Mus musculus: one gene and its partner. The protein of the gene in region 1 interacts with the protein of each later gene in a pairwise test. Links are inferred from orthologs where the notes say so. Each region holds a gene or a part of one and is shown on either strand. Other genes may lie near its edges.

The links. The genes of interacting proteins can lie anywhere in the genome.
Region 2: the proteins of Hmbox1 (region 1) and Rpl9 interact in binary tests that used the Homo sapiens proteins (3 or more experiments, as listed by UniProt). The two-hybrid records come from large-scale screens. The link is inferred for Mus musculus from reciprocal best matches to the Homo sapiens genes HMBOX1 and RPL9.

The regions. Positions count from the first base shown.
Region 1 is NC_000080.6:64,947,008-64,950,754, forward strand, and holds the start of Hmbox1 (homeobox-containing protein 1), read right to left. Parts: upstream 2,851-3,747; 5' UTR 2,570-2,850; intron 1-2,569. Other genes in the region: Ints9 (integrator complex subunit 9), read left to right, coding at 3,352-3,360. UniProt on the Homo sapiens protein: Binds directly to 5'-TTAGGG-3' repeats in telomeric DNA. Associates with the telomerase complex at sites of active telomere processing and positively regulates telomere elongation.
Region 2 is NC_000071.6:65,389,260-65,393,006, forward strand, and holds the start of Rpl9 (60S ribosomal protein L9), read right to left. Parts: upstream 2,173-3,747; 5' UTR 2,117-2,172; intron 1,734-2,116; 5' UTR 1,733-1,733; coding exon 1,687-1,732; intron 1,596-1,686; coding exon 1,480-1,595; intron 1,225-1,479; coding exon 1,129-1,224; intron 352-1,128; coding exon 219-351; intron 1-218. Other genes in the region: Lias (lipoyl synthase, mitochondrial isoform 1 precursor), read left to right, coding at 2,370-2,414, 2,961-3,130.

The DNA.
Region 1 (3,747 bases):
CTTTACATCATTTTAATGCCCCAGTACTCAAAATGCAACAGAATCAGCCCAGTGAATATAAGGAAGATTCAGTGTACATGGAGCCATTATTTCCAGACTACTAGTCAGAAAAAGTTTAACGAATGTTTTTCCCATAAATAACTTCACAATTCCATTGATGAAAATAAACAAGAAGAAGATTCAAGGTAAGGGTAGATGAAAAACACTCATTTTTCTAGGTTGGAACATTTTAGTTTGTCATATCTAAAATGATTATTAAACATGTAAAAATTCAATATCTACTAGAATACATTTTGGAAAACTACAAGTAAACAACTATTTTGTTGTTACATGGAATTTTCTTCCAGTTTTTGAAAAATAATGTTTCAGGTTAAGATAAAGCCTCAAACAAGTAATTCTGAAAATCCTGGTCTTCAACAAACCATAGGCTCAGCTTGGAACAGCACACTGTGTACAAAATTATATTTAGGTCCATTCACATACTTAACACTCAACTTCATGCAAACACAGTCCCCTTATCTGTGGGAATGATCAACAGCAGAAATTTCAAATCAAAGACTAAAACTACCATAAATCCCAGTGTGATGCTATGGAATCTAAAAGCCCATAGCTAACAGAAGAACTCAAGAACTAACACATTCTTGACCAAACACATAATACATGAAATTCTCAAGTCAAAATAGAAATAATGCCAATTATTCTTTTAGTGATTTAAAAGTCTATGATATCACAAAATTATCACAGAGAGTGATTGAAGAAGATGTATTTTGGACTGAGGGAGTACAAAATGTATGATCTTAAATTCTCCTGGTGTAATGTCATTAAATATTCAAGACTGTGAGAAACAAGAGATGTTTCATTCCAACCCTAATTGAAAATGGAAAAATAAAATAAAATTTCCCAAACTTGACTTATAAGCATAATACAACCAGATCCAGCAACTTAGCCGTGCAATTTTAATAAGTTTAATGCAAAGCACTGCAAACCTGATGTGATAATGACTTGTGGCATAAATGCAAAATAACAACAAATTCGGGTCCTTTTCACTTAACGATGCATTTTATAGTGAAACCACAAAAAGCACAGCCCATATTAGCACAAACTAAGCAAAAAAGTACAGGAGGTATTATGTCCATCGGGAAGAGAAATGTTCTGTGCCAAGGAAGGAAGGAAGGAAGGAAGGAAGGAAGGAAGGAAGGGGGTGGGGGAGAGAGGAAGCTAAGGAAAGATAGGAAAGAGAAGGCAAAGATTTCTATTATCTGCAGGTCCCCAGAAAAAGGGGCACGTGACTATACCCTATATAACAGACGAGGGTTTTTTTAAGCTTCAGACAAAAATAAAAATAGCAATCACTTTTATCATTCAACTTTACGAAGCGTGTATCTTTACTGCTAAGTGCATTCTTTGCTTCACTCACCCAATGCTTCCTCACTCTTCCATACCAGTTTTCAAGCATTTGTGACACAGAACAGGGTGGGGTAGAAGAAAAAACAAAACAAACAACAAAAAACAAAAAACAAAAAACAAAAAAAGACCACAGCGCCTTTCAGCGCACAGTCAACCCTCTTCTCCGCAAAAAATTTCCAACAGTTTTTTCAACTACGAAAATAAGTCGCCTTATCTACCTCAGGATACAGAGCAGACGTTCTGTCTCATTAGAAGACAGCGATGCGGATGGCATTTAGCACTCGAGATTCCCAGCCCCACGTTCCCGAATTTTAAATAACTGGCAAGCTACTGAGCATGAAGATGACAAGATACCTCTACTTACTGTTTCGGGGTGAAGGTGGGTGGAGGACTCCTTTCAAAGTAGCCCCAATAGTGTAACCCAAACACGGTTCCGGAATAAAATACTAAGAGACACTTTTCCTTTCCCACCTTTAGCTGCCGACTTGAGGCAAAGATGCATCTCCACATCACATCATCTATATAGTCCTGCCGGGAGTTTGGGGTGGAGACTGGCCCAGAGTAGGGCACCGAGTGTGAGCTGGGCGCCCAGACACTAACGAGTTACTGAGCCCCCCCAAACCCTGCACAAGATCCTTGGACCAAAAGTCCAGCCCGGGACTCCTGCGTGCTTCCCAAGCCCAGGCCGCTTATCTCTGACTCCAGCCATCTAACTTACCATCTACAGACATTCCTTCAAGACGATCGCAGCACCCAAGTACACGTCACAGTTTAAAACACAGCGAGACACTCCCCAAACAAACCAGCACACCTCGAAACCACCTTACAGTTTCTCAAACTCCCAAGCAGGAAGACCCCCCAACTCCAGGATTCAAACCTTCCGCCGGTCCTGAAGACCAGAGAGAAGTTGGGAAGCCATCGACGCCTCTCCACGCCCGCCCCTCACAAACTGCCCCACCCCACAGCCCGCGCACGGCCGCCCCCTCGGAAGTACCCCTACTTGCTCCCCTATGCTCAACCTGGCTACTCCAGAGACCCATCTGTGGCGCCTACTCACTTTCTCTCCCCCCCAAACATCTCGACATTTTTTTTTCCTTAAAGTAATGAGAGAAGTGAGGAAAAGAGACTTGAGGCAGTCCAGCTTGCAAACGACCCCACTCACCTTGGAAATCCAGCTGAGAGTTCTCTGCACCCTGCTCAGCCCCCTCCCCAGCGTCCCAGTGCAAGGCTGAGGGAGGGAGGAGGAAGGCGGGAGGGGGAGGGGATCTTCACCGCGGGGCGCCCTGCGGGAGGGGCTGAGGAGGGCTCCAGGCCCGCGCAGGAAGAGCCTAGGGGGGAGGGGAGGCCCCTATCTCCCAGTCTCCCCCTGAAAACCTCCCTTGTCTCAATCACATCAGACTGACTGTCTTTGTCTGGCTGACAACCGCCATATTGATAGCAACAGCCCCGCTCCCACCTGCTGCCGCTGGGCATCCCTGGGAGTTGTAGTTTCCGGTTCCCTAGAGGAAAAGTGCAGAGTTGAGGGTCTGAGGCCCTAGGGAACTACAGCTTCCAGCAGGCACTGCGCCCATACGCCTTCCCACAGGGAGGAGGGGAGCTGGGAGCTGAAATCGTGCGGACTACACATCCCAGAATACCATGGATGCTAGACCCAGATGAGGGACATGATATCATGCTGGGATGGAAAGGAAGGATGAATTGGCGGCGGCGATGAATTTGAGCGGACGGAAGGAGGTGATTAGAGAGAAAAGGGAGGAAAAGGAAAGACGCCCACAGTGCCCATGATACCTGCAGTAAAACTACATTTCCCGTGAGGCTCTGGAAAATGCTTAAGGAGTGAAGACTCCAAGTCCCGCGATGCTCTGGGCTATAGAGATTAAACCGGAAGATCCTTCCCTGTCTTTAGAAGTGAAGAGACTGGTACTGAACAACCAAAAGTCCGATATGAAACTGGTGAGTTTCCACTACTAAGTCAGAGGGCAAAGGTAATGAATGCTATATATCTTTGGAGTCTGTCGCCTCCACCATGATTTATCACGGAGGGAGGTCAGCACTTAAAAATTATAAAGTGAGCTGGGTTTTGCGATTGGGATTTGAATTCCCGCTTGCTCACATCCCACAGCTCCTGCATCTGTCAGGAGGTCTTCATTACTGTTTGGCAGATCCCTTTGGCCGCACGTGAGGTTGTATGTTACATTTCTTCACCCTTGGGCTAAAGATAGGCTCCAAAACTTTGGTTTGGTCATGTTTCTCAGCCTGCACCTGAGAGCTATAATAGATCATCAACCACTTTCCACTTAATGAGCACTTGAGTGGACTCCTACTGATATTGCGAGGCTG
Region 2 (3,747 bases), on another chromosome or scaffold:
AATTGAACCTCCTGTCATCTCAGATGACAAATGTGACTCCCAGATCCCACAAAAGGCTGATGCATCCTACAACTATTTCAGCATACTCCCTCTTCAGGAAAACCTCAAGCTCAGGACCACCCAACAGTCTTCACCACACCCGAACACCAAGGCTCCATCCAGACCCAAGGACAAAGAACTGTAGCAAGTTCCCATCATCCCTCAAGGCCCACACACACCTGTCCTCATCCGAACCCTGCGGATGTATTTTTCACCCAAGAAATTTCGGATTTCAACCAAAGAGCCATTCTCCTGGATGACGACGTTGATGGGGAAGTGAGCGTACACAGACCGCATCTTGTATCGGAAGCCCTGCATCAAACAAGCAACTGTGAGCCATCCTGAACAAACTCAAAGTTTTCGGTTCAGCTGGCCTAGATTTTGAGATTCCTCTTCTTCAGTTTCCCCAGGCTGAATTTAGAGTCAGCTCTAAATGCCCTAAGGTGCTTTTGTCATGTCGTGGAAATTTAACACACGCACTCTACCCACCATATGCAAGTTGCAACATCTTCCCAAAGCTCCAGGAGGAAGCTTTCTTTTACTATCTCATCCTTTGAGGGCATAAGATCCTCATTTTTGGCATTAGGCATCTGTGGAGTTACTACAGACACCACCAGATAATAAGTGACTCCAGACTAAACAAAAGGCCCAGTCCTCCCCAGGAGCAACAGGGTAACACGATCCAATAGGTATACAAAGTACAGCTTGTGTTTATAAAACAACACCTCTTCAGCATTAACTGTTTTGGGAGAAAGGATCTAGAACAGTAACTTCAGAGATGCACAAGTCAGATCTTTTTGTTTGTTTTTTTGAGACAGAGTATAACTCTGGCTGTCTTTTCTATCCATTGAGTCCCAAACATACCAGCCAGCAATCTCCACTATATGTATCTACCAACAAACAAAACCCCTGAAACAGAAGTAAAGGAGCCTGCCCAGCAAATTCCTGGGTCTGATCTGTGCTAACCCACCCCCAATATCTGAAAGTGCCTCCTTTGTAGAAGTACAGTCCATCCTGGCCCTAGACATTTATACACACCCAAGGAACCTCTTCCAAAGGGTTAAAGGGCAGAGTGGAGGGCTGACTTACCAGCGTGACACCCTTGATCATGTTCTGAACATGACTGCAGATGGTCCTGACGGTGGCCAGTTCCTTTCTGTTACCCCACCATTTGTCAACCCGGAGCTGAAACACAACAACTTTAGAATTAAAACACAGCACTTTTAGCTGGCGAGTACTAGCACGCAAAGCCATGTACAAATGCACCGTATGTCACACGCACAGGACACCAGAGGGACGACACACACACACCCAAGTTCACTCATAAAAGAACTGAGTCCGAGTAACCCACTCGGCCACGCATGGGGTGGGGGATTAACATCGGTTACCGGGTTTTGTTACAAGCAAGCACCCGAAGCATCGGAAGACACAAGTTCTTACCCTTTTCTTCTTCTTCCCAAGAAGACTCAGCTCCACGTTGATGTGATTGAAGTCCCTCCGCAGAGTCCCCCTGGGGCCCTTCACAATGACTGTGCGCCCCTTCAGAGTGATTTCGACTAAACGAGAAAGTGAACTGGTGAGACCATAGGCCGGGGTTTAGAGCATGCAGGAAAGCCGTCAGCGGCCGGCGGGGAGCCATCTACTCACCATTCTCTGGAATGTCCACAGTCTGATTGCTGAGAATGGTCTTCATCCTGAAACACAGACACCCGGGTGAGACGGCTGGGGCGGGGGACGCTCTACACCCGAGACCCGGCAGCGTTCCGCTCCCAACGGGAATCGCCAGCTACGAAAGCCGGCAACAAGGACCCAGGTGTGTCCGGGACAAGGACTGGACCGGGGGCCCCGGAGAAGAGTAAGGAAGCCCGGCTCGGTGCGCCATGGCGGAAGGGCTACGACCGAGATGGGCCTGAAAGCCCGAACGCCACTTCCAGCTCGCGCCACCAAGTCCCAAGGACGCACGTCGTGCTGGGGGACAGTCGGGACAAAGCCTTGGGGCATCGGCTCCATGCCGCCGGGGTCCCCAAACAGAGGATGGGTTCAGATTCCCGGGGCACCCGGTCCCTAAGCTCCTCACCTCGCAGTAGATGGGGCAAAGAGAGAACGTCTTTCGTCATCACGTTCTTGTAATCCGTCAGGGCCCTGCGTGTCGCGTCACGACCCGAGCGACGGCTTTAAGGCGGAACTACTCGATTGCCGAGCTAGTCGAGTCGCGCCGGTCGGCGACGACGTATCGCGTCATGACTCAAGCGACGAGTTGTTGGACGCGTCCGGTGCCGGGGGTGCTGTTCCCTCGATCCCTTGACACTCCTGAGACCTAAAAGAGGGGGATGGCTCTACGCTGCTGGGATACAGCTCGCAGCCTGGGGTCCCGGGTGAGCGGCGGGAACGCCATTGCTTATCCTAAGTTCAAAACTAGGGAAATTGTTCCAGATATCCTTTTTTTAAAAGCCCCGACAGCTGTGGCATATCTTAATTATTGCAAACTTGTTGACAACATATTTTAGTACCTGTTTTAGGAATAGAAGACATGAAAACGTGGCATGTTAAGTCACCCACTAAGGTTTTCTAACCTATATTTAGCGGTTAACTTTGATCTGCGTCCCACTTTTTTCCCCCATTTGTCATGGCTGAGCGTGCATCAGGGTCTCTGTAATCTAGGCTGGCCTGAAACTAAATTCTTAGACCAAAGACGACTCCTCACTCTGCCTCCTCTGAGAGCTGCATTACGTGTTTGAGCCGCCGTGACTTACGGTTCTTTCACCTTGAGTCTTTTTCAGGTTCTGATCTACGTAGTTTGAGCTCTTAAATCGTTTTACATAATTTCTGAATCAATTTCTTTAGCTTTGGTATTATAATGGGTTAAAACTAAATTATTTCAGAGTCTACTGAGTGAATGTTGTACTGAACCCTTTTTGTAGATATTTGGAAGATATGCGTTCACGGTTAGAGCATTAAGTTCTTTGCCAGATAAGAAAAAGGAATTTTTGCATAATGGACCAGACCTTCAAGATTTTGTATCTGGTGATCTTGCAGACAAGAGTACATGGGATGAATATAAAGGAAACTTAAAGCGCCAGAAAGGAGAAAGGTAATTGAACATTAGATTCCACTTTGACTTTGTGCATTGTTTGGTTTTGTTTGTTTGTTTGTTTGTTTTGGTTTTGATTTTTTGAGACAGGGTTTCTCTGTGTAGCCCTGGCTGTCCTGGAACTCACTCTGTAGACCAGGCTGGCCTCGAACTCAGAAATCCACCTGCCTCTGCCTCCCAAGTGCTGGGATTAAAGATGCACTGCCTGGCATTGTGCTTTTTTTTTTTTTTTTTTTTTTTTTTTTTTCTTTTTTAATCAAGCCTTGTAGGTTTTTCTGTACCCTTTGGCCATTTCTTCATCCTTTCCAAAATGACCATTTTATGCTGCCATATCCCATTTTATATCTAGCATCTAATTGAGAAAGTATAGGTTTTTCTCTTGATAGTTATTTTATTTATTTGGGTTTTTGGAGATGGTTTCCCTATGTAGCCCTAACTGCCCTAGACTTCTCTCTGTAGACCAAGCTGGCCTCAAACTCAGAGATCCATTTTCCTCTTCCTCCTGAGTGCTGCAATTAAAAGTGTGCACAACCACCACCTGGCTTACTTTATTGATTTATGCCTTCATATAGTTTTAATTGTTAATGGGTATTGATCATCTAACTTACTCTTTTGTT